Neodiprion lecontei: one gene and its partner. The main gene of each other region encodes a partner of the protein of the gene in region 2 in a complex. Links are inferred from orthologs where the notes say so. Each region holds a gene or a part of one and is shown on either strand. Other genes may lie near its edges.

Evidence for each region.
Region 1: eukaryotic translation initiation factor 3 subunit J (region 2) and eukaryotic translation initiation factor 3 subunit L share a complex: the UniProt entries of both Drosophila melanogaster proteins name them as parts of the eukaryotic translation initiation factor 3 (eIF-3) complex. The link is inferred for Neodiprion lecontei from reciprocal best matches to the Drosophila melanogaster genes eIF3j and eIF3l.

What each region holds. Positions count from the first base shown.
Region 1 is NC_060261.1:18,341,058-18,349,414, forward strand, and holds eukaryotic translation initiation factor 3 subunit L, read right to left. Parts: upstream 4,323-8,357; 5' UTR 4,153-4,322; coding exon 4,129-4,152; intron 4,064-4,128; coding exon 2,597-4,063; intron 1,800-2,596; coding exon 1,665-1,799; 3' UTR 1,578-1,664; downstream 1-1,577. Other genes in the region: ATPase family AAA domain-containing protein 5, read left to right, coding at 1-315. UniProt on the Drosophila melanogaster protein: Component of the eukaryotic translation initiation factor 3 (eIF-3) complex, which is involved in protein synthesis of a specialized repertoire of mRNAs and, together with other initiation factors, stimulates binding of mRNA and methionyl-tRNAi to the 40S ribosome.
Region 2 is NC_060260.1:36,066,939-36,076,336, reverse strand, and holds eukaryotic translation initiation factor 3 subunit J, read left to right. Parts: upstream 1-3,458; 5' UTR 3,459-3,597; coding exon 3,598-3,613; intron 3,614-3,728; coding exon 3,729-3,811; intron 3,812-4,157; coding exon 4,158-4,271; intron 4,272-4,504; coding exon 4,505-4,643; intron 4,644-6,072; coding exon 6,073-6,237; intron 6,238-6,317; coding exon 6,318-6,514; 3' UTR 6,515-7,119; downstream 7,120-9,398. Other genes in the region: putative nuclease HARBI1, read right to left, coding at 1,224-1,518, 1,617-1,825, 1,947-2,243, 2,356-2,622; leukotriene A-4 hydrolase, read left to right, coding at 8,522-8,660, 8,979-9,091, 9,309-9,398. UniProt on the Drosophila melanogaster protein: Component of the eukaryotic translation initiation factor 3 (eIF-3) complex, which is involved in protein synthesis of a specialized repertoire of mRNAs and, together with other initiation factors, stimulates binding of mRNA and methionyl-tRNAi to the 40S ribosome.

The DNA of each region.
Region 1 (8,357 bases), on a different chromosome or scaffold from region 2:
TCATTCAAATCTGAACAGTCCTTCAGCCTGACAAATTTTGACTGCATTGATCAATTGGCTGTAAAAAGAAAAGTGAAATTGGGGGTCGATTTCGCGTTGTCACAAGCCATTCCTTCAACTCTAGAACATAGATCTACAGCAACAGATTATTTACCCGTTGTAAGAACTATCTGCAGAACTGAACAAAACCGAGCAAAAGCTAATACCAAACGGGGAAACCGATTTCACAATTATTTACACAGCCTAAACCTGACATCTGCATCAAATAACATACTCGCTGCAGCTAGCACTGTTTTTCAAGATAAACATACATGACTAAATTTGAGTTTAATTTAATCAGCCCTAATCCGGGAATCAGTTAGGTTAGGTCACTCATAGTGCCTTAATAACTTATTATCTCGATTCCAGAGGTCCAATTTTAAATTGTATGATCCGATCTCATTGAACCTGACAATGATTTGAGGTAAAATGCGGGTTGAATTCGAATCACAATTGAATGGCCAGTTTATTTTATGCTGCGGAAACAACTTTCCACCATCGTCAAAGCTTATCTCAAATGTCCGGCTATCTCAGATTCCAGCATATCTTTTTTCTATCTATTTTTATTTTGCCTAACAATCCCTGATTCAAATTTTTCAAGTTCTCATCTTTTGATCTTCAGCATCTTCGCAAAAGTAAAACAAAAAATTTTACTCTTCCCAATGTTCTTGTTTTCAAATAACGAACGAATGCTTCTCATGGTTAATCTATGTATTGCCATTAATATTTTTCGTACCATTATTACTATTTTTTTCATATGTTAATTGAAGTAGTAAGTTGTTCCTGAACTTCATTGTCAACTAAATTATTGGATTTATTTTCCAAAAATTGGTAGAGTTTACACAGAATTTATTGCAGATGTGGATTTTTCATCACGAATATTTTTAGACTCAGGTAATTTAACAAAAACTACAGAGACTACTCTCAGACGTGACTACAAAATATAACGCAATAACGAAGTATACTCATTGAGTTTTATCCATACAACTAATTTACTTTAATATTTTCATGATTTTTTACTGCACTGTTGTTTGGTTATCCATTACACGTCAATTTCCATGTTATGCGATTTCAAGAACTTTGGTTGTGAAAACATTTTTTATTTATTTATTAGTGAACAGTGTTTCGAAAATGAGTTAATTGTTGGTAACGAATCAAAGAGTTGTAATCAACTCGTGAATTGATCTGAAATTTTCTTTCTTTCAAAATAAATCAATTCTATCATTACAACTGTTCTGTGCCGGATTTGAAGTTGTTGATGGCATGAGTTTTGTAGTAAACAACATCTTCGAAAATGTAATTTTAATCTGAAATTTTCTGTAGATAATTCGTAAATCATAGTAACATCTTTGAGAAAAGAATCAAATTTATTTTACCGTTGTAAAGGTGACCTATTAGTGATAATATGCATTTGGTGATGCAATAATGTATATACTGTGAATAGGATACGTTGTGCCTAATCTATGATGTAACAATAATGCATTGAAAAATATTGGTATCGATAGGTTTTCGACTTTTGTATCAAAAAAATATAAAAATTATTTATTTTAAAATTTCATTAATTTATTCTCCAAAATTTAGGTGTACACAAATTAATCATAATTGCAAATCTACATTCCAACAGATTAGATCTTTATTTTGTGCAGTTTGCGATTGAGTTCTTCAAACTTTAATATCTTACGGATAAAGAAATCACCGTAACGATGAGCCACCTTGGTGTCAGCGATGTGGATCATGTCGTGATCGATGTAGAAGTCCAGCTTTGTAGTAAAAAAACCAAAAATAGTTCATCAAAATTTCATCAAAACCATTCACAATTGTGAGTTATTCTGCAGGATATAGATCAATCGGGACATTGAAATTCTTAATTCGTTTTCCATATAGATTATACATGCAATATAATTACAGACTATTGCAAAAATAAAAGCAGAGAATTCATGAAGCTGTTTGCACTGGAACTCCATCACTATTTATGTTAAATCAAAATATTTTGAATGTCACACGCGAAAAACGATGGATCAAGTTTTTCATACTCGAGTTTGGAGAATCAAGTATTTACTCAACAGATTTTGTTTAGGGACCTTTGGAATATGTTCTAGATACCCAAAAAATTTCAATAAATGCTGGTGTTGAATTTAAAGGACAGAGAAGTGTATAAGTGCACATCCACTTTAAGTAATTCTTTTCATAGAATCAAGACTGAACTTTTAAAACTGATACATGGAACCAGTATACTTTGAACTTTGTTAAAAATTGGGCAGCAAAATCTGAACTAATGTGTAAGATATTTAAAAAAAATTAATTACTGAAGAAAGAATTGGAAACTAACTGTTTTCAAGAGTGACAATAAAAGAATGCACCGAAGAACGTTTCGATCTAACTCCGACAGTGATGAAGTTTCACTGCAAATAAACAACTCAATAAAGTTGACACCATAGGAAAAATTCAACTCCCTGAAAGTCATTAACACATGCTAATTAATAGTTAAAGATCTTTGTGGGACCGGACAACCCGTTTTATGCAAAGTAGATTTCATTAAAAAATGACAAATCCTTACCTCAGAACCAGACTGAAACTTTCCATCCAATCCCGAAGAGCCTTTGGTCCAAACAATGTTTTTCATTTTATGCTTGAAGCAGAGCAAATAAATACCCAATGTGGCTACCTCTTTATCCAAGTCCCAAGATCCATCAGGCCGAGTACTGCTGCACATGAATGTGGCCAGTTTACTGAGGGGAAGTGTAGTGTACAGCTTCAAGTAGGACCTAATTGTGGGTAACATTTTCTGCTGGGCAACTTCGTCCATAAATACTTGGGTTTGATGCTTGATAGCTTCTTTGACGTAATCCTCATTGGGGGCATCAGGTGGCGGCGGACAAGGAGACAAAAACTTGGGGCAAGCGTAGAGAAAGCAGGCTTCAAATTCAGCAAGATCACCATACTGCATCTTGTACATCTTTTCATGGTAATTCTTTTCACGCAGAGCCTGCTGCAGAACCTCGTCGATGCATTGAGGGTGAAGAACAAGACAGATTGCAAGGAGGTGGTACATTTGCTCGGTCTGTTTGTTTATTTGATCATTTTGGTAGCTTCTTGACGTAAAGAGTTGCTTAGTGCGCTGAATATAAAGTAGGATGCTCGAGAAGGTCCTTATGGCATCTGCATACCGGCGCATCATCATGTAAGCAAAGCCGACATAGTAGGCTGTAGAAATCTGACAGGCTGGGACGTGCGAATACGCACTTTTCTTGTAAAGTTCCACATTCTCAAGGACTTTTATAGCCTGATAGTAATCTCCGAGCAAAGAGTGGAGCCGGAGAAGACCTACCAGTGAGAAATATCCAAGCATTTTATACAGGGAATGTCTACCGAAACTTCCAGCGACAGAATCGGGATCCCCACCACTGGCATAAACCTCAAGCTGACTCTTGATCTTCGATTTATCAACTAGCGAGTGTAGAACATTGAGAATACAAAGTACGCTCCATATGTTATTATGTGCATTCAAGTTTTCTATCTCTTCCGGTGTCTTTTTCAACAGCCTTGCACGGTACTGAGCAAAGCACTGAAACTGGTAAACAAATTCGTCGATCAGCTCCCACAGCCATTGATCAGGGAGTTCCAATGGAACAGGAGTCTCTGCGCTGAGAATATAGTTGAAGAGATCACAGTAATTGAAGAAAGAACCAAATCGCTGCTCTAGGGTCGGACCACCTGGAATCCTGGCGTAAATGTGCCGGTAGTAGAGCTCCTTATAGAGGACCAAGAACACTGGGTCGTTGTCGACGATGTGGGCGACGTCGGTCTCGTCTGGCCACGACTGTTTGTCGAAGAACTGCTCGGACAGTTTCGGAAAAGAATTCTCGTAGAGGGTTTGAACCTCGAATATTACTCCTTCGTTTATACAGTTCCGAAAATATATCAAGAACTTTCTAACCAGTTCGGGCACCTGGCGGTATGCGTCCCTGTCATACTCATCGGTGTGGGTATCCGCGACTGGCCCGTAGTCGGCGTAGCTATCATACTGGATTATGAAAATACAATGGAGTTAGACAGTGCTAATTGTTGCATATTGCTCGATTTACTCACCTGATCATTGTAATCGTCATACATCGTGCTGAAATCCCACACGACGCGTGCTAAGTTAACCTCACGTAACTCCTACGAAAGCAGCTGGCCGAAAAGCAGTCAGTATTGCTAGATGGTCGTGTTACTTCCTCCTAGGTACTCTCTAGCTTAGCCCTTACAGCATATCCAACTAGAGGCAGCTACACATGCCATCAACTTCGCGAAAACTCTGGCCGTAGTGATGAGAGGGCGAAATATATATCCCCAGGTTACCGTGGATACTCTGACTCTCTCACTCTGGATTTTATTGGCTGAAAGGAAACGTATCAGATAACCAGGTTGTAGAGTGCGAGAGACAGGCTGTACATCGCAAGGCTACCATCAGTAATATATGCTCTAAGGGTTCCGCCCAAAACTCCCGTAAGCGAGCGTTCCACCCAAAACTCCCCTTAGGAAGCGTTCCAAAATTAGGTAGCCGCGCTAAAAACTCCCTAGGACACAGGCAGAACTATTCACAAACTCGGCAGCGCAAAAACGATAAGAAATTGTTGACAGCACGGGGAGCTAATATCGGAATGCACCCTAAATAACCATCACCAACCGCCTGTGACATGCGACCGCCTCGCTACAAATATTTTTCTTTATATTCACAGTTTTTACAAACCACGCCTTGCTTTGGCATAAGGATGTTGCGATCAAACCAAAAGTTACTAGATGACGTTTAGTTACTCATACCTAACTATGTATTTAAATTGCAAACCAGACTTAACTGAAAATCGTGACATCCTCCTACAGAATCTTAAAATTACCATAATCATAACTTGACCTACTCAAAGGCACTATTCAGCATTAATTGTAATCAATCGAAAAACCTCAGAGGTGGTTCTCAGGAAAAGCATAGACCAACGCCACGCGCACTAAGTGGTTTTGTCGGTAAGGATACCATAGACATAATCGACACTTGTACTCAAGGCTATTATACTCATATCTCATTACCGATATATAGCATACATAACCATGCCTATTATTTCTCTATGTTACAATACTTATATTTAATAATTATATTTACCTTCATATAATCATCAGCCTTACCATGCTGTGCCACCGTCAGTGCGTCGGTACGTCGCGAAGGCTGAATTCTCAGAAATGGTGCACAACAGCTTGCAACGTTGCGAAGCCTTAAGGGCCTTCTTCGATCATATTTGATCATAGATGAAAAGTCGTATTAGTCAATATTATTTTACTTGAGGTGAAGCAAAGCCATTAGGTATCGTATATCGGGAAAATCTCGTGAAACTTGAAAATAAACTGCGCATGCGCGAGTGTTATCGGCCGTTCATGCAGGCTGGCCATCCCGAGTTTCAGCTGTTAAACTGTTTCTGGCGGCGATGTAGTTAATACAAATTTCCGAGGTTAAAATCTTAAATAATTGAGGCAGTGGCTCGGAAAGGCTTGGGAAGCATTTGTTATTGGGTAGGAAAGTTGATTCTTCAAAGAGCAGTCAGAATTTAATGCTTATGCTCTTTGAAAATTCAAACGCACACATTATGTACGTTGGCCTCCTGCATCGCAGACAAGAATATCGCTCTGGGAAGATTTCGCCGACCAATGAGATCGAATTATTTGGCGCATGCGCAGTTTATTTTCAAATTTTAAGAGATTGTCCCGGTATAAAATAACAATACTCAATGCACCCTTGCACACCTGTGCAGTCTTCCAAACAATTATTTAAGTATACAATTATTCAAATATAAAATTATTGAATTACAGGAATATTTCGATGGTAAAAATTATTCTAAAATATACATGGAGCCACACGCGAAAATATATTCAATATCAAATATTATAAACTCCAGCAAAGTAGCTCTGGGAGCAAGCTAAAAGCTAGCCGGGGTACGCGAACAGACTTTATGAGGTGACGAAGTACAATTTCATCCAAGTATTTTAAATAATATCATATTCCAATTTGTAATCCAACTTATAGTGTTATCATCGATCTTGAATGATCTAAAAGTATCAGATTCAAGTTTTAATTCTTTTTAAATCCACCTATAAACTCAAAGTCTAATTATCAATTAGTTCCTCAAACCCTAAAACTTATCGTCGATTCCTTGCCGCTCCACGAGAATCATCGGCCGCTAACTGCTGGTCCTGAATCGAGTAGAGACAAGGTAAGTTGTACATCAAATCATTATTATTAATCTTATTATCCATCGAGTTCCTCCTTGTAGATTCCACTTAATATCCCAACTGTAATTTTATAACATGACTGTTTCACGTCTTTCCAGTGTACTTTAATACTTACAATTAATCGATATTGGCAACCCAAACTACTCATTGTACATCTCAGTACATTTTTGCGATTTAATTTAGAATGTAACTCCTTAAGTGTCCGGTCGTAAACGTAAACGACATACCTATAACGTCCGTACAGCCCGTAGAGCTCATATATCTGAGTATGACGTCTTAACGAACACTTTTCAACTAATCGAGAGGTGGACCTTAAATTATGTAGTGAAAATGTACATACCAGAACGCAGAGTCAGTAGTTTTGGGTGGTCATAAGTACCGACCATATAGTCTTGTAAAGATACACTGCGCGGTGTTACTGGGTTGCTGAAGGGGGGAAACCGGTTTATGAGGTCGAAATTTTTCTGTTTTTCATGATTTTTTTTAACCAGGAAGGAATAATCACAAATTGTTTAAACTTGGAGGATATTTTATTTATGTTTTGAAGTACATTTTAAAATTTTTTCAAACGATTTCCGCCGGAAATAGTGGAGTTACCGCGTGCAGTCCATGGGCGATTGCCATCCGAGCATTTGGCTGGCGTACATCCCTGAGGTCGCAATTTTTATCTGTAATCATCGGGATTTTTTTTTTTCATTAAAAACATATTTTCTAAGAATATGAACCTAATTTTGATCAAACGAAATGAAAATTGCATGTTTTTGAGGTGTTTGAACACAATGTCATGTTTTTATACTATATTTTTTCATCTTTCTTGCATAAAAACATATATTTTTAATAACAATATAATCCCCGAATTTGGTTCATGTTACGTGGAATTGAATAAAGAATATCTACACCAAATTTCAGAACGATTGATCAATAACTTTTTGAGCTAGAATGTACGCTAGTCGAAAAAAAGTCGTTTCGAGAAAAACGCGTTTGAAATAAAATGTAGCGAAAACGAGAAATTCAAGGCAGTAATTAATTATAAAAAATGCTCACCGGTTAATCAGCTATTCCAGCACCATATAGCAATCCCTCTTCTTGCTCATATGCGTCATTTTTAGCTTGCAATTCCGCTTGACGAGCTATACGACCATCCTTCGTCTCCAATGAGCTGCGCCTATTCTGTCTCGTCACGCGCTTTCTTTCCATGCTCTCGGCATAATTGAAGCTCTGTGAGCCAACGACGAGATTTAATTCATTCATCAGTATTAGAAGGGCTGAATTTCCTTTATTGAATAATGCAGTAGCCAAGAATGCTGCAACCTCGACTATTTTTAAACCAGCATGTAGATGCTTTGGAGCCAGTCGCCAAACGGTTGAATTGAAATTTTCGTTCGCATTCTGCGTATGATCGCCTAAGCATCTCGTCAGCAGATCGTCTCTCGATAAATCTTCGTATATCGGAAGAATTTCTTTTTGAACGTCGGGGTGTAATGGGGCAGGGTGCGGTTCAGGCTCTGTTCCAAGTGCTTTAGCTTGCTGCCACTTGCACCAGCTATCTTCTCCCTCTGGACAGTTGTCGTGTTGTGGATTGTCGTCTGTGGATGTCATGTGCTGAAAAGTTGCCATTATAGCCTTCTTCATGTCTTCGACGCTGTTTATATTTCTTCGAATCGCTAAGCCGTAGTACGTGCTGAGCTTTTTCACCAACGCCTCTGTCAATTTTCCTTTTCCGCCAAGTTTTTTATCTTTCCTGATGTTTCGGAGCCGAGTTCCCATCCTTTCCTGAACATGGCCTATACATTCACTTTTAACAACTTTAGTTCATTACCGTAGGGATTCAAATTTAGAATTGCTGTGAAAATTTTCGAATCTCCATCACCGATATAATTGCCGTATTTGACACCATGTAGTTCCTCCGATCTCAAGAACATCATTTTCACCGATTCCACCTCCATGCTTCCCGCGGAGCCATCATGTGTTTTCATACAACTTTCTTCGTCGTGATCCTCTTTCCATGCTATATATTCTGCTGAATTTTTCGATTTATCTTTCCAATATGTACATGATTG
Region 2 (9,398 bases):
GTGCAGTCCGAACTCGACTTGACCAAGATACGTAAATAAGACTGCGTTAATTGACTATGAAACGTTGCGTGCTCAAGACCATGCTTATTTCAAATAAGACTGGACTATGCAACCTTGTAAGCACGCTTCAAATAAGACCGACTTGATGAAGACCGTCTTATTTGCCGCGTCTCAAGACCGTCTTGTTTGACGTCTATGGAACCAAACGCCATCTTAAGGCCTCGTATAAGACCGTCTTATTCGAGTCCGGTCTTAAGCACTGACTATGAATACCGGCCTATGAATACCGGCCTATGGCCCGTATTCATAGTCAGGTCTCAAGGCGGTGCTTAAGACCGTCTTGGTGAAGATCGTCTTATTCGTTCAAGACCGTCTTGAGATGCTATGTATTCATAGTCGGAAAACAAGACGGTCTTCGTCAAGAATTTGGTCTCAAGCGCTAGCTTATTTCATTCAAGACCGTCTTGACGAAGACTGAGCTTGAGACGGTCTTATTCGACGTTCGGTTATGTTCGGAATATTTCCGATGTATCCCCCAATAAGATGCTCGGATTTTATTTCTCAGCCTGTGCAAGATATTCGTATAGGCATGCAGCTCTTGAGTATTTTTATAGTTTATGAACACAACAACGTTAGCGCCACGTAGAGGAACTAAAAAACGGGAACAAATCGCGTGCAATTTTTTGTAGTGGGTGTATAGCTATAAAACGAAGAAGAAGAAAAAGAATTTTATAGTGTATGTTTATGTGTATATAATTTTTATATACACATATTTTAACCTATATCATTATGTAAATCTCTATACCGGTTATTGATAAATAAATTGTATTGATATGTTAAAAGGAATCCCGGTGCAGACTTGCAAAAAAATGCGCGTGAAAGGGACAACCTTTGATCTTCAAAGTTCAAAAGAGCAACTTTAGTTCTATTTACTGGCTGTATTTATAATGTATTGAATATTTTTACGTAGACAAATTTTCATAAGTATTATCGTAACTATAAGACTGACGCTTAGTACAATTACGTACATATCAGTATTTTCATGAGTAAGTGAGGGGTTTAAAAATAAAATGAGAACCAATGATAAGTTATGAGTAAAATATGTATTCTAATGTTAACTGTTTGTACAGATTAAATTCAATTTTATTAAATATTTGGAGTATATTCATTCTAAAATCAATTAGTCTTTACAATTAAATTAACTTGATATACATATATTTTGATTAAATGAATAACCGTTCGATTAGAGCTTCGCGTATTGCAAAACCCTCTCCAGGCTGCCAATGCGGTGCTTGAGGTGGCAATTCATCCGCTTCTTCTTCCTCGATGCGATTATCTTCCGGAAGAGCATTATCCAATGTTAGTGATAAATTGTGTAGTACGGCACAAGCTACAACAATTGTGGTAGAGCACAACAATTTGGTTCCCAAACCTCGGGATAGGCAAGGAAAACGTCGCTTCCAAACTCCAAATGTTCTTTCAACAATTTGCCTTGTTCTGCTTTGTACGTTGTTATACCTATCAAGATACCGACTTGGTTAATTCACACATGTATACTTTGTCAATTTTATGACTACTTATCGAAATCTAAAGTAATGCGATAATCTTTATCTTACCTTTGTTGAGCATCTGTAATTGGATTTGCCAGTGGAGTCAGCAGAAATGGCAAGCACGGATAGCCGGCATCTCCAACCAGGGTTCCAGTAAGTTGTCTCTCATGATACCGCATGTAAATTCGTGAATTTTGGAATATTTGACTGTCATGGTTACTTCCAGGCCATTCCGGAACCACATCCAAGAATTCCATATTGGGTCCGATAACTGCCTGTGGTATCATTTAAATTAAAAGTACCGATTTTCATAGAATAGTATTGTTTATTTGTATCCTAGATAAAATTAATTGCAACTTATGGTATTTGTAAACGGTTATCACCAACGCGACATACCTGTACATTGAGGGAAAAATATCCCTTACGATTCCTATAAACCTCCTGCAGGTCTGCAAATTTCGTATGACATAATCGAATGTGAGTGCAGTCGATAGCGCCATCAACGCCAGGTAAACCGATACCCTCCCTGCGTGCACCAAGTTGTCTGAATAGATCTCTGTTTGCGATCATAGCAGCTTCCGTACTAGGAAATTTGATAATTGCGTGAATCAATGATGCAATTTGAGCCGATACTCTGTGTATTATCCTCGATACTGTAGACTGCGATATAGTCATCAGATCTCCGTTGACGAGCTGTACAGTACAAAATGTATTAGCAATCATTTATTCCATGATCACAGGAAGCAATGAAATCACTTTATATTTTCAGTAGAATGTCAGGAATTATAATCACAATGATCCTTACTTGAAAGCTAGCGGTAGCGTAAAATCGTAGACATATTAATAATTGCATGACAGGTGGAATTGGTAGACCACGATTATTGGCACTGACTAAGGCAGCTTCAATTCTAGGTAGTATTCCGTACATAATACCATCCTTTGAAAATCGGAATCGCCGTTTGAACTCCTGCTCGGAATAAAACTCGAACGGGTTTTGACCATCTCTGATGTATCTCTTCGGAGCTCGCTGTACTTCACCCTCGTCTTCGTCATTCGGCCCAACGTTGACCATTGAACAATCATATTATTCATTTCTTCGATCTGATCGTAGAAATTAAACATATCTTGCATATTCGCCATGTCAGTAGAATTTCACTATTCACTTCACTTCACAAATTTTTCAAAGCGAATGCTCTCATAACCTCTACTTCAATTGCAAGTTTCCGTTGCTACCCTTTTACAGTAAATAATCCCGTCCCAGCTGCACTTTCCCAAACATTCCTTCACAATCTATTCCTGTTAATTTATATTGTTCGAATATAATATTTTCCAAACAATTCGTAATTATCAATTTCGTACGCATCAGAACAATTGAGTAATATTTAGGCAACAAGCATTTGCTTAAGTGCAGTCCGAACTCGACTTGATCAAGATACGTAAATAAGACTGCGTTAATTGACTATGAAACGTTGCGTGCTCAAGACCATGCTTATTTCAAATAAGACTGGACTATGCAACCTTGTAAGCACGCTTCGAATAAGACCGACTTGATGAAGACCGTCTTATTTGCCGCGTCTCAAGACCGTCTTGTTTGACGTCTATGGAACCAAACGCCATCTTAAGGCCTCGTATAAGACCGTCTTATTCGAGTCCGGTCTTAAGCACTGACTATGAATACCGGCCTAAGTATATTTTTCAAAATTTTTCTCAGCCACGCTATTCTCGAAGGTCATAGAAGAATTGGCGAGAGAGAGAGAGAGAGAGAGAGAGAGAGAGAGAGAGAAGAGATAGAATAGTTAGGGTTTTGAGACAGTAGAGGCGCTTCTTTCACTGTATCCGGTCAACTTCCACTCCGTACTATACTCTTTCTCTTTGTTCAAGTTTTTAGAGGACGAATGGACAGCCAGAGCTGCAACGGTAAACAGTTGAATCATTCGCCCCATGAGATTAAGGACAAGGCCCGCCGTGCACCGCCGTGGCTCGTTGATTTTTGTTGCGTGCACGGTTTTTCCGACTATTTGAGTGATATTTCATAAAAATCAAGATCATGGATGACGAGTGGGGTATGTATTTTAAATGATTAAATATTCTGTGCCGATACATTTGATCAAAGGAAATGAATTTCTCGTGATTCGGCTTAATTTTTGACAACTCGTTTCGTATCGTATCATATTGCAGACGCGGATAATGTTGAGGCCAAATTCGACCTCGCAATGAGGTCCAATAAATGGGAAGGCGAAGATGAAGAGGAAGACGTTAAGGTATCGAAGTACAATGTGATATTCAGTTAACAAACATTCGAATACTCTCATTAATTTCATTCTGCCTCCATATGTTTCACCACCAAGTTTTCATAACCTTGTCCTAATTACCGCATGGAATTTTTGAGTGTCTTTTCTCTATGAAAATTGACGACCTATCTTGCCCGTGTCAAATAAATCAATATGTATTCACTTTTATTCTTTAAACATCATTTTCTCAAAAGATGTGTATATTATTCCAAAGTCTTTGACATGATATTTTTTTCTTTCCCATTTCCATTACCACTTCATGTCAATAATCTCATTGACGCATACTTAATTGCTTAATATTTATTGACGTTATTAGGATAGTTGGGAAGATGTGGAAGAGGAAAAAAAAGATGTAGAAAAGGCTGCTGAGGTGCCAAAGGCTAAAGCAAAACCTAAAAAAACATTGGCCGATAAAATCGAGGAGCGTGAGGTCAGCGTCTCCATTACTAAAAAATGATTGTACTTATTTTATTTTCATTCATAGTCGCTTAATAAAAGATTCACTACAGTAACTTTGCTAATCGGTTTAATTGACTGAAATCTTACAGGATTGTTGAGAAATATTTCTGATATAGTAGATGAATCCTGTATTTAAATTCTCTATTGGGAGTATCAATCAAACGATACAAAGTATTTTAAACAAATCATTTTCTTCACATCTAGAAAAAGACGCGAGAAGAAGCAGAAAGAAAGGCGAAGGAAAAGGAAGAGGCCTTAACACCTGAGGAAAGGAGAGCGGAAATGTTGAGACGTCAGAGGCTTCAGGAAGAAGCGGATCTTCGACTAGCCATGGAAACATTTGGTTTGTCAAACCTTGTTGACTTTAGCCCCCGTAAACCACAAAAAAGTGAAAAAAAATAACAATTCTCCCCTGCTATCAAATATTCTCACAATCATAATAATTATTATTAATCCACTTGTACTATCTATCACTTTTAATTTTTACCTGTATTCGAATCTGCTGTATCTCAGATTATTGTCAGATTTGTGGAATTTTATTTTTATTGATATTAAATTTATCTGTTGCACATAATTTTAGTTTTCTGGTGTTGCTACAGATATTTTTTTTTTTACCGAAACATTCTTACAACAACCCCGACACGTATGAATTCTGGTGAACGTATAACAGTGAAATATACCATAATTAATTTAATACTAGAATTAACCTTGAGGCGATATTTCGTAAATAACATAAAACTTAATTCAATCCTGAGATAATTGATGAAGCTGATTCAAATTCTCAATTATTCAAATTTGACTGATGCTTAATTCTTTCGATATACTTTGACTCATGTGTGGTTACCGCGAGATTAGGCAAGCTTAAGACATTGTGATAGATTTTCGAGGGGTATAGAATTCTGAGCCAATGAACTTGACGAAATTGTATCAAATTAGTCTATAAACTTAATCATAAATCAGATTCTTTGTTTCGAAGTAGTTTTTTCTTGAAATTTCAAGTTAAAATGATGAAGTCTAATTTAATTAGTGATTCTGAATACGTTTTGCATTATTTTTCATTGCTTGAACATACGTAGAAAAGCGCAGTATTAAGGATGAAAATAACCACGTAAACATTTCCACCTAAGATTAATGAAATATTAAGTGAAAGTAACGTTAATTTTTTTTTTTATCTAACAACATTAAGTTTCGAAATGCTACATTAATGAACCTATAATTGTCAGGAACTGTACCAGAGATGAACGAAATCCATACGATTTATTACCAATTTTAATACAATGAAATTTAATAATGTTATGTATTTTAATAAAATTGATATTTTGCACAAACAAACTGTTGTGTCCACGTCAGTCTTTATACATCCTTGCATACTGTTTTTAATCTCCTGTATTGTTCCTGATGAGCTGTTCGATAATGTATTCCTTATTTGTATCTCATTTTAAAGGTGTGTGGTGAAGATTGTATGGCTTCTAGCTACACAAATTTTTGTTTATCTTAAAATCTTTAAAAACGAAAATGCGCAAGTATTAAACAATAACAAGAAACTCCTATTTTAAATTAATAACAACCGTTTTAGGTTCCATCAAGTATTTATACACTTGTGAAACTTAAAATTATTTTCTAATTACTTATTAACTGGATTGGGTAGAAGTATAAGATGGAAAGAAAATGCTATCACGAAAATTGAAGATACAGGTCAAAAATTTGTATGTGCTGTTGTCAAGTTACCAGTGTTATCTAATTTATTATGAAACTCACGTTTTTATGTTAAGGTGTGAACCCTGAAGCTGCTACAGGACTTGACTCTATGACACCTGACACAAAAGAAGATTTCGACCAGTTCAGTGAAGCACTTTTAAAGAAAATAAACCAATTCAACAAGCATGCTGAGTTTACCACGTTCGCCGAAGAGTTCATTAAAAACATTGCCGTGAATTGTTAGTATCTTACTCTTTATGGAATATTATCTTTCTCAATCATATGCACTCTTTTTTAATTGAAATTAAAATTGTTGCAGTGTCTTCGACAAGTTTGAAAAAAGTGAAAACGACAATTGAAAATTTAGCTATCGAAAAACAAAAGATTGAAAAAGGGGATAAGGGTAAGAAGAACAAGGGTAAAGGCAAAGCAAAACTACGAGTCGAGGGTGATAATTCACATCTAAATGAGTATGGCGATTATGGTTTTGATGACGAATTTAATGATTTTATGTAGCGCCGAGATGTAAGTGAAAGTCAGTTACTGTTACAAAACAACAATCTGCATACATGGAAACAGACAAAAAATAGATTTATTATACAAAATGTAAGAAAGTGACAGCCAAAAAAACTAAAAACATGCAGCTCCAACATGAATGTACTAATACATGACGATTGTAAGGCATGTAGATCCATGCCCGTTATTATACATGTTGAATATTATTATTAAATCACATCGAAACCAGAGTTTGTTGTCATTATTTTTTTTTGGTTCAGTGGCTATTTCTATTAAGCCAGTTTAGTGCAGATTTTACAATATCAAATTTAAATATCTATATAGTTAGATAACTTTGAATATTAAGAATTGCTCTAAATTAAAGAAATGACAATTTAGAGCCATGAGTTGATTGTTACCACGCTACTTTAATTCAATTTCAAATACTATTAAAACTATTACTTACGTCTGTTCTCCTACCCGCAGTTCTTCATGCAATGCAATAATCAATGTTAATAAATTTTGTATAACTAATAACAACTACTTACATTGTGCGTATTGGTTGATAAATCAAAGTTGATTTTAAAAAGAATATATTAAGTAATAAAGGATCACTGAAATGCGAATGTTGAAACGTCATTTGCTGTTTATTACCAGAAAAATTCACTTCGATTAAACTTGATAAACCCTACAACATTTATCATCCAGTTCTCTTACGTTCAATCTCAGACAATCAATTTTTCAGCACTGTGAATTTGATGTGGTGTCAGAAATAAACATGTTCCACAAGTCGAATGTGCGACTGTAAACAAAAAAAGAAGTCGTCATTATTTTGAGGAACCAAAATGGATTGGACGTTTCCTGAGGGTTAAGAAGCCTTGAATTTTTTGTCCTATCTGAGAAAATGGAAGTACTCATGGTTTAGTGCGTCAGCAACATTAACTGTTTAGTTAATTCATTTGATTTTTGCATCTTCTTTGATGACAGTGATTTAATGACTGCATAAATCTCAGCCTTTGCTCTAGGACCTCAGCAGTTACTGTTTACAACGAACTGTTCCTACGAAAATCTTATACAGTCATGGTATCTCCAATGCACAAATGTCTATGGTCATTGGCCTTTAAAATAGAAATATATCGGCCATTATCCTTTGAATTGGGGCGAAGAATGTTCGTGAATGATTATAATCATGACGATAGTTACATCCATGGATTGAATAGTTATATTAGTATGACTCTGATTGTGTCTAATTCTGTACGCTTTTATTACCAAGAATTACACTTAATTCAAATATCTATTTCTTTTCAGCCTCCGTGCTTTCCAACTGTGTTTCTACTAATAAATTTTCGTCAACAACACGTTTAATTCCAATTTGCAACTGCATTACGATAAGCGATAAACTCAACTTACCTGTCAAGCAAAACATGAAAGGCTGATAACTTACGATCTTTTCATATCTGATGAAAGAAAGTTGTTTTCAACTTAAATACACTTCAATGATTCATGATTTCTTGCTATGAATTCTAAATTGTCAATCTGGAGAAAAAAAACTTGATAAAAGCATTTTTTTATATCTAATTAATTTTTGTTTTATTGACATAATAACACTGCTCGCCACAGCCTTCAAATTATTACCCCAAAAAAAAACTCTGTACAAAAACATTTGTTTCTTTTCCAATTCATCCAAGTAATAATTTATAACTCACAGCGAAAGATTAAAAAAAAAATGTTTAATTCAATTATTGTAAAAAAATGCTCTGAAATCCGCAGAATTAACAAAGGAACAGAGATTCTTCTTTAAATATTTTTGTCAACATATTATTTTAGGACTTACTGCAAGCAAAAGAATCGATACCGAATTTTTTTTTAATTCTGCGATCAGAGAATAATAAGATATATAAGGGTCATTCTCAAAAGTAATTGACCCTCGTTATCAGCATCATTCGGGGTAAGAAGCGAAGAAAAAACTGGATGGTAATCGGTAGAAAGTGGTTGAAGCGTAATTGGAATTTTGAATAATCTTAAATCATGGGATTAGCGGTGCGTCCATTTCTGATACGCTCTCTGAAGTACATTTCTTTCCTAACGTTATTCATTCCGGCTCAGTGGTCGGCAGCAGCAAACATGTCGTTGAGTCCAGGAGATCCGAATTCCTATTCACGGCCCGGTATTGTAATATATTTGCATTTAATGAATTAATACATACAATTCCGCTATAATTTAATGTTTTAATCAATGCTATTTCGATTGAGCTTGAATCGTTTATGAATGTTTATCGTTAGCTGAAAGTCTTAACCTACAACAAAATATTTTTTGTGTACATTTCGAAATAATTAGTGGCTTGTCATTTGATACACCCATAAATATGAGTCGAAATAGGTTTTCTGAGCTGCAAACTCTTTCACATATCTAAATACGGCTTGAATAACTATTTGACGTTATTCTCCGTATCTTGTTATTGTTTCAATTATTCAAATATTTCCAGACTTAGCCGTGGTGACGCATATTGATCTGCACCTGCGTGTGGATTTTGACAAAAAAGTATTGGTTGGAAGCGTTATTTTGGATGTTAAAAAATCTGGGGATACCAACGAAGTGGTTAGTATTGTTCCATAAGGCGACTTAAATTTCTTTTAGTGTGAGTGCCTTCGATAATGTCTTTATTCATCCACATGTAAAGTTGCATTAGTGAATGAGATAGTACAATCAATAATCCGAAATGCTTTTACTAGCGTGAACACGTCCAAGTACAGAGTTTCAATTATTGAGAAATTCTTAAAATTGGTATTTTCATAATCTATAAAAAATGTTGTAGATTTTGGATAACCGAGGGTTGACCATTTCGACTGTGCTTAATGTTGCCGATGGTTCGCCATTAGAGTTTGTCAAAGGGGAATCAGTGACA